3 linked regions of the Macaca fascicularis genome follow. The protein of the gene in region 1 interacts with the protein of each later gene in a pairwise test. Links are inferred from orthologs where the notes say so. Each region holds a gene or a part of one and is shown in the gene's direction. Other genes may lie near its edges.

Region 1 (6,454 bases):
GTGTGAGCCACTGTGCCTGGCCACAATTAATTGTATTTTTAGTAGAGACGAGGTTTCACCATGTTGGCCAGACTGGCCTCGAACTCCTGACCTCAGGTGAGCCACCTGCCTTGGCCTCTCAATGTGCTGGGATTACAGGCATGAGCTACGGTGCCCCACCTAGTTTTGTAGTTTAGATTCCTCTGGCTACTATGTGGAGATTGGATTAGGAAGTTTAGGCCTGCAGGCCTGAGATCAGTTAAAATGTTGCTTGTCATCTAGGTGGCCAGGTTTAGGGAGAGGGACAAATGCTTGTTGAATGGCTATTATGTGAATTAAATTGACATATATTAAAGGTGATCTCTGTAAGGAGCACATGAGTGCTGAAGCAGTTAGCACACAGTATGAAAGTCATTTGTATATGAATGAAATGGGCAAGCATTAAAACAATGAGGATGCTGGAGCTATATAGATATGGGTTAAATTTATGGCTCTGCCATTCACTAGATCTGTAGCCTTTATTTATTTATTTTGAGAGTCTTGTCCTGTCGCCCAGGCTGGAGTGCAGTGGTGCGATCTGGGCTCACTGCAACCTCTGTCTGCCTGGTTCAAGCAATTCTCCCTCCTCAGCCTCCGGAGTAGCTGGGACTACAGGTGTGCGCCACCAACCCCGACTAATCTTTGTATTTTTAGTTGAGATGGGGTTTCACCATGTTGGCCAGGCTGGTCTTGAACTCCTGACCTCAGATGATCCACCCACCTTGGCCTCCCAAAGTCCTGGGATTACAGGTGTGAGCCACCACACCCAGCTAGATCTGTAGCCTTCAATGAGTTATATGGGCATCAATCAAGTAAAAAAACTCTACTCTTCTCAATCTGGTCTGAGTCACCATTATTCCCAGACCAGAATACTACAGTATTCCCGTATTTTGACTGGCTTCTCCGTTTCTGGCCTTGCCCTCTTCCTCGAGCTTCACAGTGTCCAAAATAATACTTCCCCACCACCCAGCTTTTTCGTTTGTTTGTTTTTTGTTTTAGAGACAGGGTCGTGCCATGTTGCCCCGGCTGATCTTGAACTCCTAGGCTCAAGCAATCCTCCTGCCTCGGCCTCCCAAAGTGCTGGGATGAAGGTGTGAGCCACCATACCTGGCCTGAGTGCAGTGGCCTGATCTCGGCTCACAGCAGCCTCGACCCTCCAGGCTCAAGCAATTCTCTCACCTCAGCCTCCCGAGTAGCTGGGACTACAGGCGCGTGCCACCACGCCCGGCTAATTTTTGTATTTTTTGTAGAGATGGGATTTCACTATTTTGCCGGGGCTGGTTCCCAACTCCTGGACTCAAGCGATTCGCCCGCCTCAGCCTCCCAAAGGGAAGTGCTGGGATTTCAGGCGTGTGCCACTGCTCCCACCCCAAAGTAGTATTTGTTATTATTATTATCGAGACGGAGTTTGGCTCTATTGCAGGCTGGAGCGCAGTGGTGCGACCTCGGCTCACCGCAACCTCTGCCTCCCAGGTTCAAGCGATTCTCCTGCCTCAGCCTCCCAAGTAGCTGAGATTACAGGCGAACGCCACCACGTCCAGCTCATTTTTGAATTTTTAGTGGAGACCATGTTGGCCAGGATGGTCTCGATCTCTTGACCTCGTGATCCGCCCGCCTCGGCCTCCCAAAGTGCTGGGATTACGGGCGTGAGCCACCGCGCCCGGTCTATTACTAGTTTTTTTAGGCAGTGTCTTGCTGTCGCCCAGGCTGGAGGGCAGTGGCGTGATCACGACTCACTGCAGCACCGACTTCCCGGGCTTAAGTTATCCTCCCGCCGCAGCCTCCACGCCTGGCTAGGGTTTTGCATTTTTTGTAGAGATGAGGTCTTTTTTGCCCAGGCTGGCCTCTAGCTCCTAGGCTTAAGCGACACTCTTGCTGCAGCCTCCTAAATTGTTGGGGTTACGGGCGTGAGCCACCGCGCCCAGCCTAATGGAGGAAACTGAGGCTCGGAGACAGTAGGTAATTCCCCAAGGTTCCACAGCTAATGAGTCGAGTGGCGATTTGTGGAACGAAATGAATGAAATCGATGTGGCAGTGGGCCCGGACGCGCCCGGTCGGTGGAGTGGCGTAGCCGCCGAGCGCGCAGCTCACACCCGGCGGCCGCGATTTCCGGGAGGAAGCAAGGATGCTTTGGACGCTGCGCTTAGCGCCTCCGCGGAACCCCCGCGCTGCCATTCCCGGCCGTGGCTCCGTCCTCGGCTAACGGGAAGCAGGAAGTGGCGGCGGGCGTCGCTAGCGGTGACATCACGGGGGCGACGGCGGCGAAGGGCGGGGGCGGAGGAGGAGCGAGCCGGGCCGGGGGGCGGCTGCACAGTCTCCGGGATCCCCAGGCCTGGAGGGGGGTCTGTGCGCGGCCGGCTGGCTCTGCCCCGCGTCCGGTCCCGAGCGGGCCTCCCTCGGGCCAGCCCGATGTGACCGAGCCTAGTGGAGCTTGAGCAAGGAGCGGGTCCGTCGCGGAGCCGGAGGGCGGGAGGAACATGACATCGCGGAGGTGAGGAGCCCCGAGGGGCCCGGCCCGGGCCTCGGCCCGGCCCCCGCCGCATTCGGTCAGCCCCGTCCGGAAGGGGGCGCCCCGGCCGGGCTTCGGGCTCCCGCCCCGGATCGGGATTGGGGGCCAGTTCCCTCCTCGTCCCCTGTCCCTCCTCGGCCCGGGGGCCGGCCCCACCGCGCCCCCACCCCTTGGGTCCCCATTCATTTCCTGCCTCCCTGAGTTCCGGCTGCGGCAGCCCGGGGGATGCCCGTCAGGCCTGGGGCAGGTAGAGCCGCCTAGGGAACCACGGGCGCCAGCGGCCCGGCTCAGCGCCGCATTCCTGACCCATTGCCTCATGAGAATTGCCTCATGGTGATTCCGAAATAACCCTGCTCACTTGGGGAGGCTCCTTGGGACACGAGATGGGAGTTGCGCGGGGCCGGGCCCCCAGTGGTCTAGTCGTTCTGGGTCACTGTGCCACTTGCGTGCATTTGGGGTCTTAACGAAGGACCCCTGACCCTTTTATGTGCCCCTTTGTGTCTTCTTTTTCTCCCACCCCTCACGTGCCAGAAATGGAAAAACTGACTGTATCTGCAGCCACTAGAAGTATTTCCTTCCTCTGCGATATTCGCTTTGGGAGATGGAAAGGAAGGGAGCCGCATCTCGTTATTTAATCCTTCACTGCAACCTTAACAGTCAGGTCACTTTACTGGTACCCGTTTTATGGATGAGGAAACCGAGGCCCAGAAGCAACATGCTAGTAAATGACAAGATTTGAAACTAAGGAGAATTAGTGAGTTAATGAGATCCTTTGAAAGATCAGGGTAATATTACTACTAATAGCTAACATTTGCTTAGTTCTGACGACAGCCCTCTCAGATGGCTACTATTATCCCCATTGTAAAGATGAGTAAACCGAGTTTCGGAGAGGTTAAGTAGATTGCTTAACCTCACAGCTAGTAGGTGGTGGAGACAGAATCCCTACTTTTAATCACTATGTTGCTTCTATTATTTTGTAACTATTGCTAACCACTTGTAAGCCTTAATTTTGTTGTCAAACAGTAGTGTGACTTGTTTTCAGATAATGATCCTGCTATTTTATATAATCACTCTATATACCACTCACACTTAAGACCCATTGTCTATTCTTTTCCATGGTTGTTCAATTATGGTCACTGTCTCAGACATTTAAAAAACGATTCAAGCTATTGAGGCTATTTGAATGAGATTTTTTTTTCTTTCTTTTTTTTTCTCTTTTTTTGAGACGGAGTCTCACTCTGTTAACAGCCCAGGCTGGAGTGCAGTGGCACGATCTCGGCTCACCACAACCTCCGCCTCCTAGGTTCAAGCGATTCTCCTGCCTCAACCTCCCAAGTAGCTGGGACTATCGGCATGCCACTATGCCTGGCTAATTTTTTTTTTTTTTTTTTTTTTTTTTTTTTTTTTTTTTTTTTTGAGACGGAGTCATGCTCTGTCGCCCAGGCTGGAGTGCAGTGGCCGGATCTCAGCTCACTGCAAGCTCCGCCTCCCGGGTTCACGCCATTCTCCTGCCTCAGCCTCCCAAGTAGCTGGGACTACAGGCGCCCGCCACTTCGCCCTGCTAGTTTTTTGTATTTTTTAGTAGAGACGGGGTTTCACCGTGTTAGCCAGGATGGTCTCCATCTCCTGACCTCGTGATTCGCCCGTCTCGGCCTCCCAAAGTGCTGGGATTACAGGCTTGAGCCACTGCGCCCGGCCTAATTTTTTTTTTTGAAACAGAGTCTCGCTCTCTTGCCCAGGCTGGAGTGCCGTGGCGCAATCTCGGCTCACTACAAGCTCCGCCTTCTGGGTTCAAGCCATCCTCCTGCCTCAGCCTCTCAAGTAGCTGGGACTACAGGTGCCCGCCACGACGTCTGGCGAATGTTTTGTATTTTTAGTAGAGACGGGGTTTCACCATGTTAGCCGGGATGGTCTCGATCTCCTGACCTTGTGATCCGCCCGCCTCGGCCTCCCAAAGTGCTGGAATTACAAGCATGAGCCACCGTGCCCGGCCGAGTTTTGTATTTTTAGTAGAGACGGGGTTTCACTATGTTGGCCAGATTGGTCTTAAACTCCTGACCTCGAGATCCGCCTGCCTCGGCCTCCCAAAGTGCTGGAATTACAGGCGTGAGCCACCGCACCCGGCCTGAATGAGATTTTTCAAAATATTAGGAATGTCTCCTCCAAACAGACCTGGCATGTTATTCTTACATGGATCTGGAATTTAAAAAGGGGAGAAAAAAGAAAACAGAACTCGTAGGAAGTGAGTGACTTGGACAGGTCTGTTGGCAAGTGCTTGCGGATCTGGGTAATATATAACTGCATTTCAACGGAACAGTGTATAGCCTCAAATGTTCTAATTCTTTAGGGAGCTTTTAAATAAACAGTTGTCTATTCTTTAATCTGTCTAATAGTCATTGAGCCTTTTGTTCCTGGTGTCTGCTCTTCCAGACAAGTAAGGATTTGCTGCTTTAGGGGGCTGAGGGTTGGGAAAAGATCTGTGTAGTATTAGACCCTACATTGTCCAGTTTGTTAGTTTAGAAGCATGGAAGTGTGGGCATAGTCAAAGCAGCAAGTGGTAAAGATGACAGTTTGAAATGGAGTTGTTCCTTTTCCCCTCCAGCCCTGGTATTGTGTACCACCCAAAAAGCCAGATTATGAACATAATACACAGAATTTTGAATGATTTATCATTTTTTAGATTATAAGTCTGTTTTATTAACCAGCCTTACTGAGCTATAAATGACATGCAATTAAATGCATATATTTAAATGTACAATTTGATCAGTTTTGACATACATATACACTTGGGAAACCACCACCACAGTCAAGATAATGAACACATCTATTGTCCCTCGTAATTTTGCCTCATGTTTTTTGTAATCCCTCGTTTGTTCTTAGCCACTGTTCTGCTTTCTGTCACTATATATTAGTTTATATCTCCTAAAATTTTTTTGTTTTTTTAAAATTTTTAAATTGTTTGAATAGAGATGGGGTCTCACTGTGTTGCCCAGGGCAGTCTCAAACCCCTGGGTTCAAGCGATCCTCTCACCTTGGCCTACTGCAGTGTTGGGATTATAGGCGTGAGACACCCTGCCCAGCCCTAGAATTTTATTATTATTGTTATTATTATGTTTTTTTGAGATAGAGTCTCGCTTTGTTGCCCAGGCTGGAGTGCAGTGGTGCGATCACTGCAGCCTTGTTTTCCTAGGCTCAATCCATCCTTCCTCCTCAGCTTGCCGATTACTGGGACTACAAGTGTGCACCACCACACTCGGCTAATTTTTGAATTTTTTTGTAGAGACAGAGTTTTGCCAGGTTGGCTAGACTGGTCTCAAACTCCTGGGCTCAAACGATCTTCCTGCCTTGGCCTCCCAAAGTGCTGGGATTACAGGCATGATCCACTGTGTCTGGCCTTCAAATTACTTTAACCTAGTATTAATTCATTCAACAGGAAGTTAATGAGCCAGGCAGGATAAAGCAGTAAGATAGGAAAATATTGCTAGTTTCTTTCTTTCTTTCTTTCTTTTCTCTTTTTTTTTTTTTGAGACGGAGTTTCACTCTTGTTACCCAGGCTGGAGTGCAATGGCACGATTTCGGCTCACCACAACCTCTGCCTCCCAAATTCAAGCGATTCTCCTGCCTCAGCCTCCCGAGTAGCTGGGATTACAGGCATGCGCCACCACGTCTGGCTAATTTTGTATTTTTAGTAGAGACAGGGTTTCTCCATGTTGGTCAGGCTGGTCTCGAACTCCTGACCTCAGGTGATCCACCCGCCTCAGCCTCCCAAAGTGCTGGGATTACAGGCATGAGCCATCGCGCCCAGCCAATATTGCTATTTTCATGGCTGAGAGAGAGCAGACAAACACATGACTAAATAGGATAATTTCAGGTAGTAATAAATTCTAGGAGGGAAAAAAATCCTACAGAAATGTGAGAATGGGAGAA
Region 2 (6,143 bases), on another chromosome or scaffold:
TAATTCCAGCTACTCAGGAGGTTGAGGCAGGAGAATCATTTGAACCTGGGAGGCAGAGGCTGCAGTGAGCCAAGATGGTACTCCAGCCTGGGCAAAACAGAGTAAGACTCTGTCTCAAAAAAAAAAAAAAAAAAAAAAAAAAAAAAGGCAGACAAGAGTACAAATTGACTGTATGGCCAACATTTATCTAAAATTCTATGAAATGTAAAGCTACCCATATGACAGAAAGAAGATCTGTGGTTAGAGAGAATGGAAGTAGAGTGGAGGAGGAACCACAAAGGGATAGAGGAAACTTTGGAGGGTGATAGATACATTCACCACTTTCCTTGTAGAAGTGGTTTCAGGGATGTATATATATCAAAACTTATCAAATTGTACACTTTATTTTTATTTTTATTTTTGAGACGGAGTCTAGGAGTCTCGCTCTGTCGTCCAGGCTGGAGTGCAATGGCGCGATCTTGGCTCACCGCAACCACCGCCTCCCAGGTTCAAGCCATTCTCCTACCTCAGCCTCCCCAGTAGCTGGGACTCAGGTACGTGCCACCACACCCGGCTAATTTTTGTATTTTTAGTAGAGACGGGGTTTCACCATATTGGCCAGGCTGTTCTCAAATTCCTGACCTCATGATCCGCCCGCCTCAGCCTCCCAAAGTGCTGGGGTTACTGGTGTGAGCCATCGCGCCCGGCCAGAAATTGTACACTTTAAATATGTGCAGTTTATTTTGTCAATCATACCCCAATAAAGTTGTGAGATGTCCCTCTTAAGTTTGAAAAGCAGACAAGACTAAAAACTCACTGAAGTATCTAAAGCACAAGGCAACTACAATTACTTTTGGAGATAACTGACAATCAAGGTTCTTTTCTAGTATGATAGTTTATCTGAACAAAACATTACTATGAGAAATGCAAAGTCATAAAAATAAAAAATAGAAACGACATTTTTGTCCCCCTGGTAATCATGCCATTTCCTCATGTCTGTGCAGTAGCGTTATGTTATAATCTTTTTAGTGCTCTATGCAATTTGGTTTTTTTAGAGAGAAATAACCTTGTTGTACTTTTCCTGAACTAGACTGCTCTTTTATGTACAAGAAGCCCAGTCCCTGGTGTGAGTGTACTTGTGTGGGTCTGTAGAAAGCTACACTGTATCAATACATTTTAGCAAATGCTGTCATTTGTTTTGGGATTTTTGTAGTCGGGACTCAGCGGAGATACTAGAAACAAATTAGAAATTTCTAGAAACCATACCTTCTACAAGATGAACGCTGTTTTCCTAAGTATGTGAATTCAGTAATCACATTTTTCATTTAGATTTTCCACTTACTGTTTTAAAACCAAGAATTGCTATACCATACAGTCTACGAAACCGGTAATTTTCAATTTCTTCATTAAAGATTCCTTCACTCTTTTTTAGAAAACACGAGAAAGTTTTATTTCCCAACTCTCCCACTACCCATTTCAGAGCTCTTTTATTCGGTCATTATTCCCATTCTGCAGACGGGGAGGCGCACATACGTTTTTCTGCATAGTACAGAGGGACAAGAAAGAAGGAACTTTCAACTTTTCAGTTCCATTTTCAGAAACGATCACATTGAACTCCAGAGAAGCGGCAGCTGAGCGAGAGCAGCAGCATTTCTCCCCGGGTTGGGTGTGGGTCAGGAGCCAGGCGCGCTTCCGCGGGAATAGAGGGGGAGTCAGGTGGCAGCAGCGCCCGAGCCCGAGTGGCGCGGCGGGGGCGCGCCTCCCTCCGGCCGGCGCGGGGACGCTGCCCCCGCGCACGCGAGTCCGGCAACCCCGGGCTCCCGCGCCGCGCGGCGATCCGCGGGTGCGGCAGGGTCGCCCCGACGCTCTCGTCTCTTCCCTCGCGCGCTCGCTCCCTCCCCATGCCCCCACCCCCCCTCCAGTCTCTGGCAGGTCCCTCCCCCAAGCCTGCTCCCGCGGCCGCCGCTGCCGCCGCCGCCGCTACCGGAGGCGCAGGAGCCTCGCGATAGTGTTTGCACAGGCGGCGCGTGACGCCGCCGCCGCCTGTAACTGATGCAGAGGTTACCCCGCTGCCTCAGCCGCCACCCACCGCCCGCCGCCGCCGCCTCCCGGGCGACGCCGGGGGCCGACGCACTGCAGAGGTGCCGGCAGGTTCCGCCCGCGGAAGTCTCCTCGGCCGGCGCAGCCCGCGCTCCGCCCGCGCTCCGACCCCGGCCCCAGGGCACCCCCTCGACGCCTCCGCCGCCGCGCTCCTTCCCTCCGCCTCTTCTCCGGCGCGCCCGCCCGCTCCCTCGCTTCTCCCCCTTTCCCTCCTCCCTGTCCCCTCTCCTTCCCTCACCTCTTTCCTCCCCACCGCCCCTCTTCTCGGTTTCCTCCCCCATCCCCTTGACTCTCCCCTCCCAGCCCTCGCTCTTTAGCTCGCCCTTAGCGCGGCCCCCGCCATGACGGAGGCGGGTGCCGGTGCCGTTGCCGCCGCTGCCGTCGCAGGGGGGGAGTCGGGTTCCCAGAAAGTAGCTTGATGAGTGTCCAAAGTAGCAGTGGAAGTTTGGAGGGGCCGCCATCTTGGTCCCAGCTCTCCACGTCTCCAACCCCGGGCTCGGCGGCGGCGGCCAGGTCCCTGCTGAATCACACGCCGCCATCCGGGAGGCCCAGGGAAGGTAAGCACTGCCGCGCCCGCGCCCGCTCGCGGGCCTCCCCTCCCGTGCCGCGGACCCCCGCGCCCCCCCGGGGCTCCTCCGCCAGACCCCGGGGTGGGGGATGGTGGCGAGGTGGACGCGAGGCCGCCTGGCTCCCCGGCCCTGGGGAGGTATTGCCCTGGCTGTGGGTGGTGGTTCGCGGGTGGCGGTAGAGACGGACGAGGGGGTGCGCGCTGGTGGGGACGGGGCGAGGCGCACAGACTCGCCTGGGGTTCCTGGGAGCCAGTTCTGCGAGGGTGGGAAGCCTCCCCCCGGACGCGAGCCCCTTTCTGCTCCATTTGCCAGCACACTCAGTACTCTTAACCTCCTGGCCTCCGGTCTCTGGTGGGTTTTCCCTCCCGCTGGAGCCTTCGTCCTCGAGCCCCCTCCCCTTCCCCCGCGCACTCCTCCCATAGAGGCGGTCCCCGCTCTGCGAGCTTTGCTGCCCCAGACCTGGAGGATGCCCCTCGCTTGCAGGGTCTCTCATTTGGGGAGAGACACTGAAATTACCTAGGCAGACTTTGATCCCCTGTGTGGCCCCCTAGAGCAATTTAAACGACAGACTGACTCGTGGGCAGGCTTTTAAAACCGCCCCTCCAGATGGTTGCAACTTTCTCTCCTCCGCCGTTGCCTCCTGCGTGTTTGTGCGTTATATTCTCTGCTGCAAGTAGGCTACTGTTCTTCTCTGACAGGGTCGTGGGTTTTGTGGGAAATATCTGCGTAAAGGTTATTGCAAACATGCACCAGATCGGTTACAATTGTTTTCTAAGTTTTCTGGCTTCTTGCAAGCAAGTGTGCTGCCACCAGATGTAGCAGTTAGACAGCTTGTAAGGCACCGGCGTGCTTTTGACTAAAATTTCAACTTGCTGTATTTAACTTTAAGTATACGACATAAAATGAAATTTGGGAGAAAACACATTTATGGGTGATGAATAAATGTGCATGGAATGTCTTTTAACGCTCTTTTGTCTGGAAAACGCTTAGCGATGTTCATCCGCAATTGATAAACGGGTTGTTCACTCCCAGTTGTCGCACACGAGGAGATTGTAGGCATATTTTCAAACGTCTGGAAGTTCAGCAGTCTAGTGAATGTTTTAAAGAAATCAAGAGCTTCGATTTATGTAGGAATCGGTGGGAGTACTTTATTTTGAAAATGTCTGTCGATATTTACTATTCAGAGCCTTGACAATTGTTAATCAAGTGTTTTGTGTCCTGAATCCAGTGGTTCAGGCATAGCATTCTTTGTCATTTTGTTCCTGTGAGCATGTGTGAAAGTGACAATAGGCTTAAAAGATTGGCATGAATATGCTCTAGAAAATTCACGGAAAGCTTTGATTTATGGGATCCATTAAACAGGCGGAATACATTGACTGACGTTTCTCCCTTTCATCTTATCCCAACGCTGAGCTTTCATTATTAGAATATAAAAGTATTAAATGACTAAAAATTTATCTGATGATTCTTTTGCACTTGAAAATTTCCAAATGAACGGTTTAAAATGTATTTCATAGAGAAGTTGGTGCTTTTAGCATGCTTTTACTTTTGTTTGTAGTTTCATTAAGATGTTTTGTGTTAGTGTTGTGAGTTTAAAAAGACCATTTTATCGTTTCTTAATTTAAGACTATATCATCATTCATTCGTTCATTCATTCGTTTCTCGAATATTTATTGAGCCATTACTGTGAGCCAGTCCGTGAACTACATACTGAGGACATAGTATTGAATTGTTTATCTGTTGACATCTGTTATCAGTATTGGGAATTTGGGAGACAAAATATCTAGATTGTGAGTTTCTGAGGTTACTTCAACTTAAAAACATTCTGCACTTTTCCTGATGTTTGAAAATTTGGAGGGGTTGGAATCGTTTAGGTTGAGCTTCCAGATAACCATAAATTTTTTCTGGCAGTTTAGATTGCAGTGGGTTTTTATGTAACCTGAAGTAGTGAGTTTCTGTTAATTCGTGATATCATAGGACGGGCTTTTGTGAAAGTTACACTTCATGCCAAGTACCTGTATAGCTACAGAGGGATATTTCTTTTTGACCAACCAGCATGCAAGTTAAAACTATTAATCCTCTCTAGGGTTATATTCATTTTGAAGTTTGGCGATGTGTTCTCAGATTTCACTAACGCTAACAGGAATATGAAGCCCTGAGTATCAAAATGGAGATGTTTTCTATTAAGCGAAATCTCAGTTTTTATTTTAACAAGTGTTTAGCACTTTTTTCAGGTATACATGTTACTACATTATATAAATTGATGAAGTTTTAGAAAGCTTTTTGACGGCTAGTTACTGCTAGTAAGAACCATTGATATTAATGGAACTTGAATGTATTCTATGTGTCAAGAAGAGAACTAACTTTGTTTCTTGAAAAGTGGAGCCAGTTTAACATAGAGTAATAGAAGAATTGAAACTTCAAAGAGATGAACATGTATATGAACTTAAATATTCTATGTGATGAACTCCTTTTAGGCAAATTTAACTTTGAAAATGGGTTACTTTTAAAGATATGCCATAAGCATCTGTAAAAGTTACTTATTTTGAAGTTTTGACGTTGGAAACCAAAAATCTAAGATTATAATCCGATTATTTTTGATGCTGTATGTTGTGGTTTTCTTTCTCTCTTTTTACCTTATTACCATTATCATATTCACATAGTTTTATTACAAACACAATACAGCTCTTTAAGATTTGGGAGTCTATTAGAATTTAGGAAATTATATGATAAATATAGTGTAGATTTCTTTTCCCTGGGTCTCAAAGCTTTTTACCTTACCAATCTTGTGGTTCTGTTTGAGGTGTTCAGTAATGTAGCTCTAGATTTTCTGTTGAATCTTTTAAACCTATAATCTCCATCCCATTTTGTCTTCTATAATCCTGTGATTAAGGGAGTGAGGAGTTAAAAAGGTTTTCAAGTAAAGCCCAGTTTTGCTTTGTTGAAGCCTAGGAACCTAGTGTCATAATGGCTAGATAAGTAGTTGGGTTTTTTGCATATCAGTACATGGGTACTTTTGAGTGGGTTATTGCTGAGAATCGAATGATTGGTTATACAGAACACTTGCATTTTCTTTCCTGCTCCTGCCAATTATAAATAATTTGATTTTTTTTTTTTTTTGTAAATAGTGAAAACTTGGCCAAAAGGTTGGTATGGGTCGGGAGTGGTGGCTCAAGCCTGTAATCCCAGCACTTTGGGCGGCCTAGGCGGGTGGATTGCTTGAGTTCAGGAGTTCAAGACCAGCCTGGACAACACGGTGAAACCCTGTCTCTACAAAAAGTAGAAAAATTAGCTGGGCGTGGTTCGGGAGGCTGAGTTGGGAGGATTGCTTGAGCCTGGGAGGTGAAGGCTGTGGTGAGCCTAGATAGCGTCATTGCATTCCAGCCTGGGTGACAGAGTGAGGCACTCTCTCAAAAAAAGATGGCATGATAGTATGATTAAACTGTAAACTTGCTCTGTTTCCATATTTAAAGACTGCATTCCTTAGAAGAATTA
Region 3 (6,280 bases), on another chromosome or scaffold:
CGAAGTCAGGAGATCGAGACCATCCTGGCTAACATGGTGAAACCCCATCTCTACTAAAAAAAAAAAAAAAATACAAAACATTAGCTGGGCGTGGTGGCGGGCGCCTATAGTCCTAGGGAGGCTGAGGCAGGAGAATGGCTTGAACCCGAGAAGCAGAGCTGGCAGTGAGCCAAGATCACGCCACTGCACTCTAGCCCGCCTTCAACCTTTGGGGAAAGATGTTCAGAGAACCCTTCCCAAAGCTGATACGTGGTGACTATTGTATTCACATTTCAAGGTCCCTCCTGCCATTGGCCAAACAAGAAACATCAAACTTTTCCATTTCTACATGAAATTGTAAATAACACCATCTTTTCCTAAACAAACAAAATAAGACCTTAAAGAATTTCTGGCAGAATATTACCTAACCCCAACTAACTCTTGCTAAACAGCCTTCCAGTCTGTGTATTGAATCATATAACTATCAAAGGATATGTAAAAGACTACTCTTCTGGGGGAAGATAGGGCATACGTCTGCCTGACTTGCATCACAAACCTCAGCTGCAGCCAAACCATGCAGATTTCTTCGACTCTGCAATCCCTGGGACTTGGCACCATGACTCAGATGTGAATGAAGTCAGGATGGGTTTATTTTGGTGGGGAGTCACCGCCTCCTGATTGATTTGGCAGACGTTAAGTATTGTATGTCTTACAGGGATTTAAGGTACTTAAAGCCAGAAGTTAAAATGGCCATCATTCTGGTGGTGGCCCTTCATATGTGACTTAAGGATCCCCAAATTGGAAGGTTAAGGGAGCTGTGGTCCCAGCCTAACAGTTCTGGCTTTACTTCCCATCCAGCAGCACAGTGGATATTGAAGAAAGTCAGTGAAATGTTAGATCCAGGAGACTGACTGCTAAAACTCCTAGGGTATCTAGAAGAGCTAAGTACGTGATAGCGGATTCGCTTTTCCAAACTGAGGAGGGTGAACTTCCCCCAACCCAATCAAGATCTGTTGGACCAAATGATGTCCAACTGCTTGAAACATCTCAGCTGCACAGAGACAGAAATGAACAAAACAGCTTTAGTCTAAGGTTGTGTGGGGCAGTGCAAGATGCTGCTTCTCCAATTCATCTGTCCACACAGCACGGTTCCCCATTGAATAAACAGGATACTATCCACTTATCAGAGAAGTTAGGGAGGACCTGCCTTTTAATGCTGCTTGGAGAGACACTGTCAATGAGCGGGGACGTTGGGGAATTTGGACCCCAATTTCTTGTTCTTCTACACTTGACCTTGCCTTCCAATTCACTATGAAATATATTTACTAGGTTTGCTTCTTCCATTCTACAAATCATGCGAGTTTTCTATACTTAACTGTTTTCCTAGAGGCAATGTAGGAGGGACTCAGCTGGACTTTGTTTCCAGGCAATGAGAGGCTCCCAGGTTGATCCCATTAAGGCAATGCCCTCATTTTGAATAGGGGATGACTGGGACCCCTCCTCCCCCACACACCTGAATTGGAAACTTGGCTAGGCTTTGTACAAGCCCTTGCCCTTAGGCAGTCCATAAAATGGGAACAATACTGAAGACAATCCTGTAAGCCAAGAGTGCAAAGGCTCCGGCGCGTAGTAGGTCCGTCTCCTCCTCCCGCCGAGGGGCGCCAGAGTTAAGGAACTTCTTACTGGGAAGGGGTCCCTCCTTTCAGCAGGAACCTGACCCGCAGAATGGATCGGAAACGCGAGCAACCCTCGGATCCCTTCCCCGTCGACGCTCGGTGAAAAATCGATCGACGACGGAGGGCGCGCAGTCCCTTCTCCGCACGCCCGCCAGCGCCAGGGGCGCGGCCGCCTCCCCGGCCTCCGCGCCCGCAGCTTGAGGCCTCAGGAGAAAGCGAGATTCCGGGGCTCGCCGGCGGCGGTGGCTTTCTGTGTCCTGGCGGATCCCCAGCCCCGCGTCCGCGTGCGCGGCGGCCTCGGGGGCGCGGCGGGAGCGGGCGTGGCGAGCGCGCCGGCCTTCCCGCTGCAACTGCCCCCGCGGCGGCCCGGCGGAGAGTGCGGATTGCGCGCGCTCGGGGCGGGGGAGCGGGCGCGCGCGAGGCCGCCGGGCGCGCGCCGCGCCGCCTAGTCCCCGCCGGGCCGCCCGCCCCGCCCCTGGCCTCCCGCGAGCTGCGCACCGCCGGCCGCTGCCCCAGCTGCCCGAGCCCGCGCCCTAGTCCGCGCGACCCAGCGGCGGGCTCCAGGCCGGCAGCATGAGCGGCGGCGGCGGCGACGTGGTGTGCACCGGCTGGCTGAGGAAATCGCCTCCCGAGAAGAAGTTGAGGCGCTATGTGAGTGCGGGCGCGGCCGCCGAGGGGCGGGCGGGCGGGCGGGGGGCGCTCCGGGGCCTGCGGAGGGGCGGGGGGCTCCCGGAGGGGCGGCAGGCTGGGGAGCTCGGGCCCGGAGCCGCGGGGGCCGGGGGCGAGGAGCGGCCAGGGTCGTGTGGGGTACCTGCACACCTGTCACAGGTGCGCCGCCGAGGGGCGGGGCGGGGCGGGCGGCAGGTTGAGGCTGCGGCTCCTGCTCCGCCAGGCGGGCGCGGCGTCGGCGCCTCCCCAGGCGGTCTGCCCGTAAACTAAATATAGTGTCGAAGTTTGTATTGATGGCTTCTGGAGACCGAGAGAGTTGACTCTCGGGGCTGGGGCTCCGCGGCGGCCCCTAGCAGCTTCAGCTCACAGGTCCGGGAGAGGGCGGGAAAGGGGGGCGTAGGCTGTGGGCCCGCGCGGACGGCCCCACAAAGGGCGAGCGCCTCACGCCCTCTCCTTCCCTTTCTCCGCCCGCCCCTCCCGGCCGCCGGCCTCACTCCGTCCGCGGCTGCATCACCGGCAGCGTCAGCGGCATGTGCAGCCCTTGTATTAAGTGACTCATTTGTTTGTCCCCCTTCTCTCCCTTTATTCCGTTCGTCTCTCACAGGCGCCTCCCCCGACCCCGGTGTGACACTGCAGTTTGGTCCCCGTGGCTGGCCCGGGTTTGGGACCTGGCAGCTCCCGGTTGTCTGGGGTCGGGAGAGATCGAGGCTCTCGGCGCCCAGGTGTTGCCAACCCACAGTGTTTACTGACATCGCTGGAACAGCCTCTTCCCTCTAGGTGGGGAACTGGCAGTTTGGGGGAGGTGGAACGGCGTGGCGCTGAGCCGTGGAGTTCTGGCTTTTTTTTTTTTTTTTTTTTAACCCCTCTCCCCAGAGGATGCCTTGCCTGGTGAGGTCAAAGTACAAGATGGTGCCAGTTACTGAGATTTTGCCGAAATGGTCCTGGGGTAGTCGCGGGAGTTTGGAAGTGGGGGTAAGGTGGCTGGAAGGTTTCAAGGTCTCTCATCTGCTCCCTCTCCTTTTCCCATGAAATGCCCTTGTTTAACGGGCTGTGGTGCCGGACTCCGGGATCACTCCCACAGCCTGGAAGGGAGCCGTTGCCTCCAGCTGCAGTGCATCAAGGGAGCTCGGAATAGACCCTGCCCTCTGTCAGCTGCACCAGTGGCTGTCCATGGGGGGAGAAGCAGAAGCCTACCAGAATTTCCTGTCTTGGCTCCCCAGATCAGAATCAAGGGACTTCTGGCCTCTGGACTGAGGAAGTGACATTCTGTTTTTCAAAGGAAGTGTTGTTGTTGCGGAGTGCAAGTGTGTGTGTCAATGAAATCAGGCTCTTACGTAGATGTTTGCTAGGAAAAAAAAAATTCTGATTTAGCACATGACTTTTGAAAGTGGACGTGGATTTATAGGAGGGATGAAGCAGTGAATTGTTCATCTCAGTTTGAAAGCTCATTTTTAGGAGTGTCTATGTAGCCAAAGTATAATTATTAAGAAATACACTTTTTTCCTCTTCAGGCTTGTATCAGTTCGTTAGGAAGGTTGAATACTTTAATTAGGATTAAGGAGCAGTGATTTACTATTAACAATTTAATAAATATTTTTAAAACTTTGTCCCAAAGAGCTTCCAAAAATTATCTTTACAAATAGATTTCCATACAAGCTAGTGGAATAGAGTGTCCACAGTAAAAAAAAAGAAAAAGTGACCCTTAGTTTTCAAATTTGAACACTACACTAAACCTTGAAACTTGTTTTTGAAACAATTTGCAAACAGTATGACATTGTATCTCCATTTGACTTACCGCTCCTTGAACGCTCACCCAGACTCTCTTTATGACCCATTTCTTGGGTGTTTTTGTTCCCAAACAACTTTAGTTCAAAAAAACCAGGTTTGGAGGCATTTGGGTCAAGCACCTTTTTCACTCATTTGAACGAATCTAGAATCGTGTGATGGCCTTAGCCTCTCTTTCCCATCTTCGATGCACCTTCAGCCCATCAGGTGTCAGACCTTAACAGCTTTCAGTAACAGCTTTTCTTAGGCCAGGATGTGATGTGTTCACTTACATGACTGGAAGCCTCTGCCCTTTCGAAAGTTCAGTTTCCCCCCAGTTGAAACTGCTGATCTGTGTAACCTTAAGCTTCCGGGGAACAGTATTCTTTTACGTCTACTGTTTTTGGGGGTATTAAGAATTTTTGCATCCTGTTGTAAGTTAAAACTCTGCTAGTTTGCTTATTTCAGTAGAGGCCCGAGTTCATCAGAACCAAACTTGGAAAGTATTTCCCAGCCTAATGGCTGTATATTTACCCCAAAGTAGCTGCTGCTTCTGGTATACATCATAGTCATGTTATATTGTACTGAGAAATCCTCTTTATAAGAATGCCACAAGCATATGAGATAAGGGGAAAAAGTAGTTGATGAACTAGGTTATAACTATTTAAAACGATTTTTTTAAAAACTGATTTAATTCGAAGGCTGGGCGCAGTGGTTTATGCCTGTAATCCCAGCACTTTGGGAGGCTGAGGCCGGCAGATCACTGGAGGTCAGAAATTCGAGACCAGCCTGGCCAAAACCCCGTCTCTACCATAAATACAAAAATTAGCTGGGCGTTGTGGAGGGCACCTGTAGTCCCAGTTACTCAGGAGGCTGAGACATGAGAATTGGGTGAGTCTGGGAGGCTGAGGTTGCAGCAAGCCGAGATTGCACCACTGCACTCCAGCCTGGGTGAGAGAATGAGACTCCATTTCAAAGAAAAACAAAAAACTTATTTAATTCAGAAAGACAAGGAGGTGCAGAGGGGGGAAACATCTTAGAAGAAGCAAAGGCAAATGTTTGAGCAATTAGTTTTCAGATATTTTTTCATCAGCCTTTTCTAGTTAATTATAAGTATAAAAGATCTATCTGCTATTTGCTGAGTGCCCTGGAGAAATTACAAAAAATGACTTTGGAAAATGCTGACTATTGCCCCTGGGGCATCCTGATACGGTTGCAGTGGGAGGTTGGCAGGAGTAACAACCCTCCCATCGTGCCTCAGTGTATTTGTGTGTGTATGCGTGTGCATGCAAATGCATATACACGTACATGTATATAAATCTTAAACAGAATTTTCTTGAGGAAAAACATTTTATTAATATGACCTACACTGCATTGTAGTTTTCAATTTCACTGGGTTAAAAGATTTAGGGAATAAAATTGGCAGACTGCCCCCTAGTGGCTAACTTGAAAGTTGTGCACAAATTTTAATGAACAACTGCATTAAGGTAACAGTAATTGTTTATTTCCATTGTATTTGTTAAATATACTTATTAAATCTATGTCCTAGGTACTTCAGGTGCTTGGAATAAAAATTCAGTAAATAAAAAGAAAGAACATTAATCCAGCCTTTCAGTCTTAGCAATGGCTTTGCCTTCTCCTTCACAAAGAAAATTGAAATGATGAGGGAGTAGTTATCTGTACGTACCATGAATGGCCACACTTTCAAATTTACCTATATCTGCCTAGTTCCTTTCCTTCTTGTTTCTTTCTTTTTTTTTTTGACAGAGGTTCGCTCTTGTTGCCTAGGCTGGAGTGCAACGGCACAGTCTGGGCTCACTGCAACCTCTGCCTCCTGGGTTTAAGCGGTTCTCCTGCCTCAGCCTCCCAAGTAGCTGGGTTTATAGGCATGCGCCACCACGCCTGGTTAATTTTGTATTTTTAGTAGAGATGAGGCTTGACCACGTTGGTCAGGCTAGTCTTGAACTCCTGACCTCCGGTGATCCGCCCACCTCAGCCTCCTGAAGTGCTGGGATTACAGACATGAGCCACCACGCCCAGCCTGCGTAGTTCCTTTGTGGTTTCCTTAGAGTGGATGAAGTGCGTCTTCTATCTGAGCTAATCTTGCTACTTATACTTTGAATCATATCTTCTCCTCCCTACTCAAATAATTCTTATCCTGTAACACATCTTCAATTTCTTTCCCTCTCTGT

What was found.
Region 2: the proteins of PTPN11 (region 1) and TLK1 interact in binary tests that used the Homo sapiens proteins (3 or more experiments, as listed by UniProt). The link is inferred for Macaca fascicularis from reciprocal best matches to the Homo sapiens genes PTPN11 and TLK1.
Region 3: the proteins of PTPN11 (region 1) and GAB2 interact in binary tests that used the Homo sapiens proteins (3 or more experiments, as listed by UniProt). The link is inferred for Macaca fascicularis from reciprocal best matches to the Homo sapiens genes PTPN11 and GAB2.

Annotation. Positions count from the first base shown.
Region 1 is NC_088385.1:119,339,294-119,345,747, forward strand, and holds the start of PTPN11 (tyrosine-protein phosphatase non-receptor type 11), read left to right. Parts: upstream 1-2,288; 5' UTR 2,289-2,495; coding exon 2,496-2,509; intron 2,510-6,454. UniProt on the Homo sapiens protein: Acts downstream of various receptor and cytoplasmic protein tyrosine kinases to participate in the signal transduction from the cell surface to the nucleus. Positively regulates MAPK signal transduction pathway. Dephosphorylates GAB1, ARHGAP35 and EGFR.
Region 2 is NC_088386.1:66,733,990-66,740,132, reverse strand, and holds the start of TLK1 (serine/threonine-protein kinase tousled-like 1), read left to right. Parts: upstream 1-1,989; 5' UTR 1,990-2,497; coding exon 2,498-2,636; intron 2,637-3,103; exon of another isoform or gene 3,104-3,254; coding exon of another isoform or gene 3,255-3,321; intron 3,322-6,143. UniProt on the Homo sapiens protein: Rapidly and transiently inhibited by phosphorylation following the generation of DNA double-stranded breaks during S-phase. This is cell cycle checkpoint and ATM-pathway dependent and appears to regulate processes involved in chromatin assembly.
Region 3 is NC_088388.1:77,315,968-77,322,247, reverse strand, and holds the start of GAB2 (GRB2-associated-binding protein 2), read left to right. Parts: upstream 1-2,126; 5' UTR 2,127-2,228; coding exon 2,229-2,306; intron 2,307-6,280. UniProt on the Homo sapiens protein: Adapter protein which acts downstream of several membrane receptors including cytokine, antigen, hormone, cell matrix and growth factor receptors to regulate multiple signaling pathways.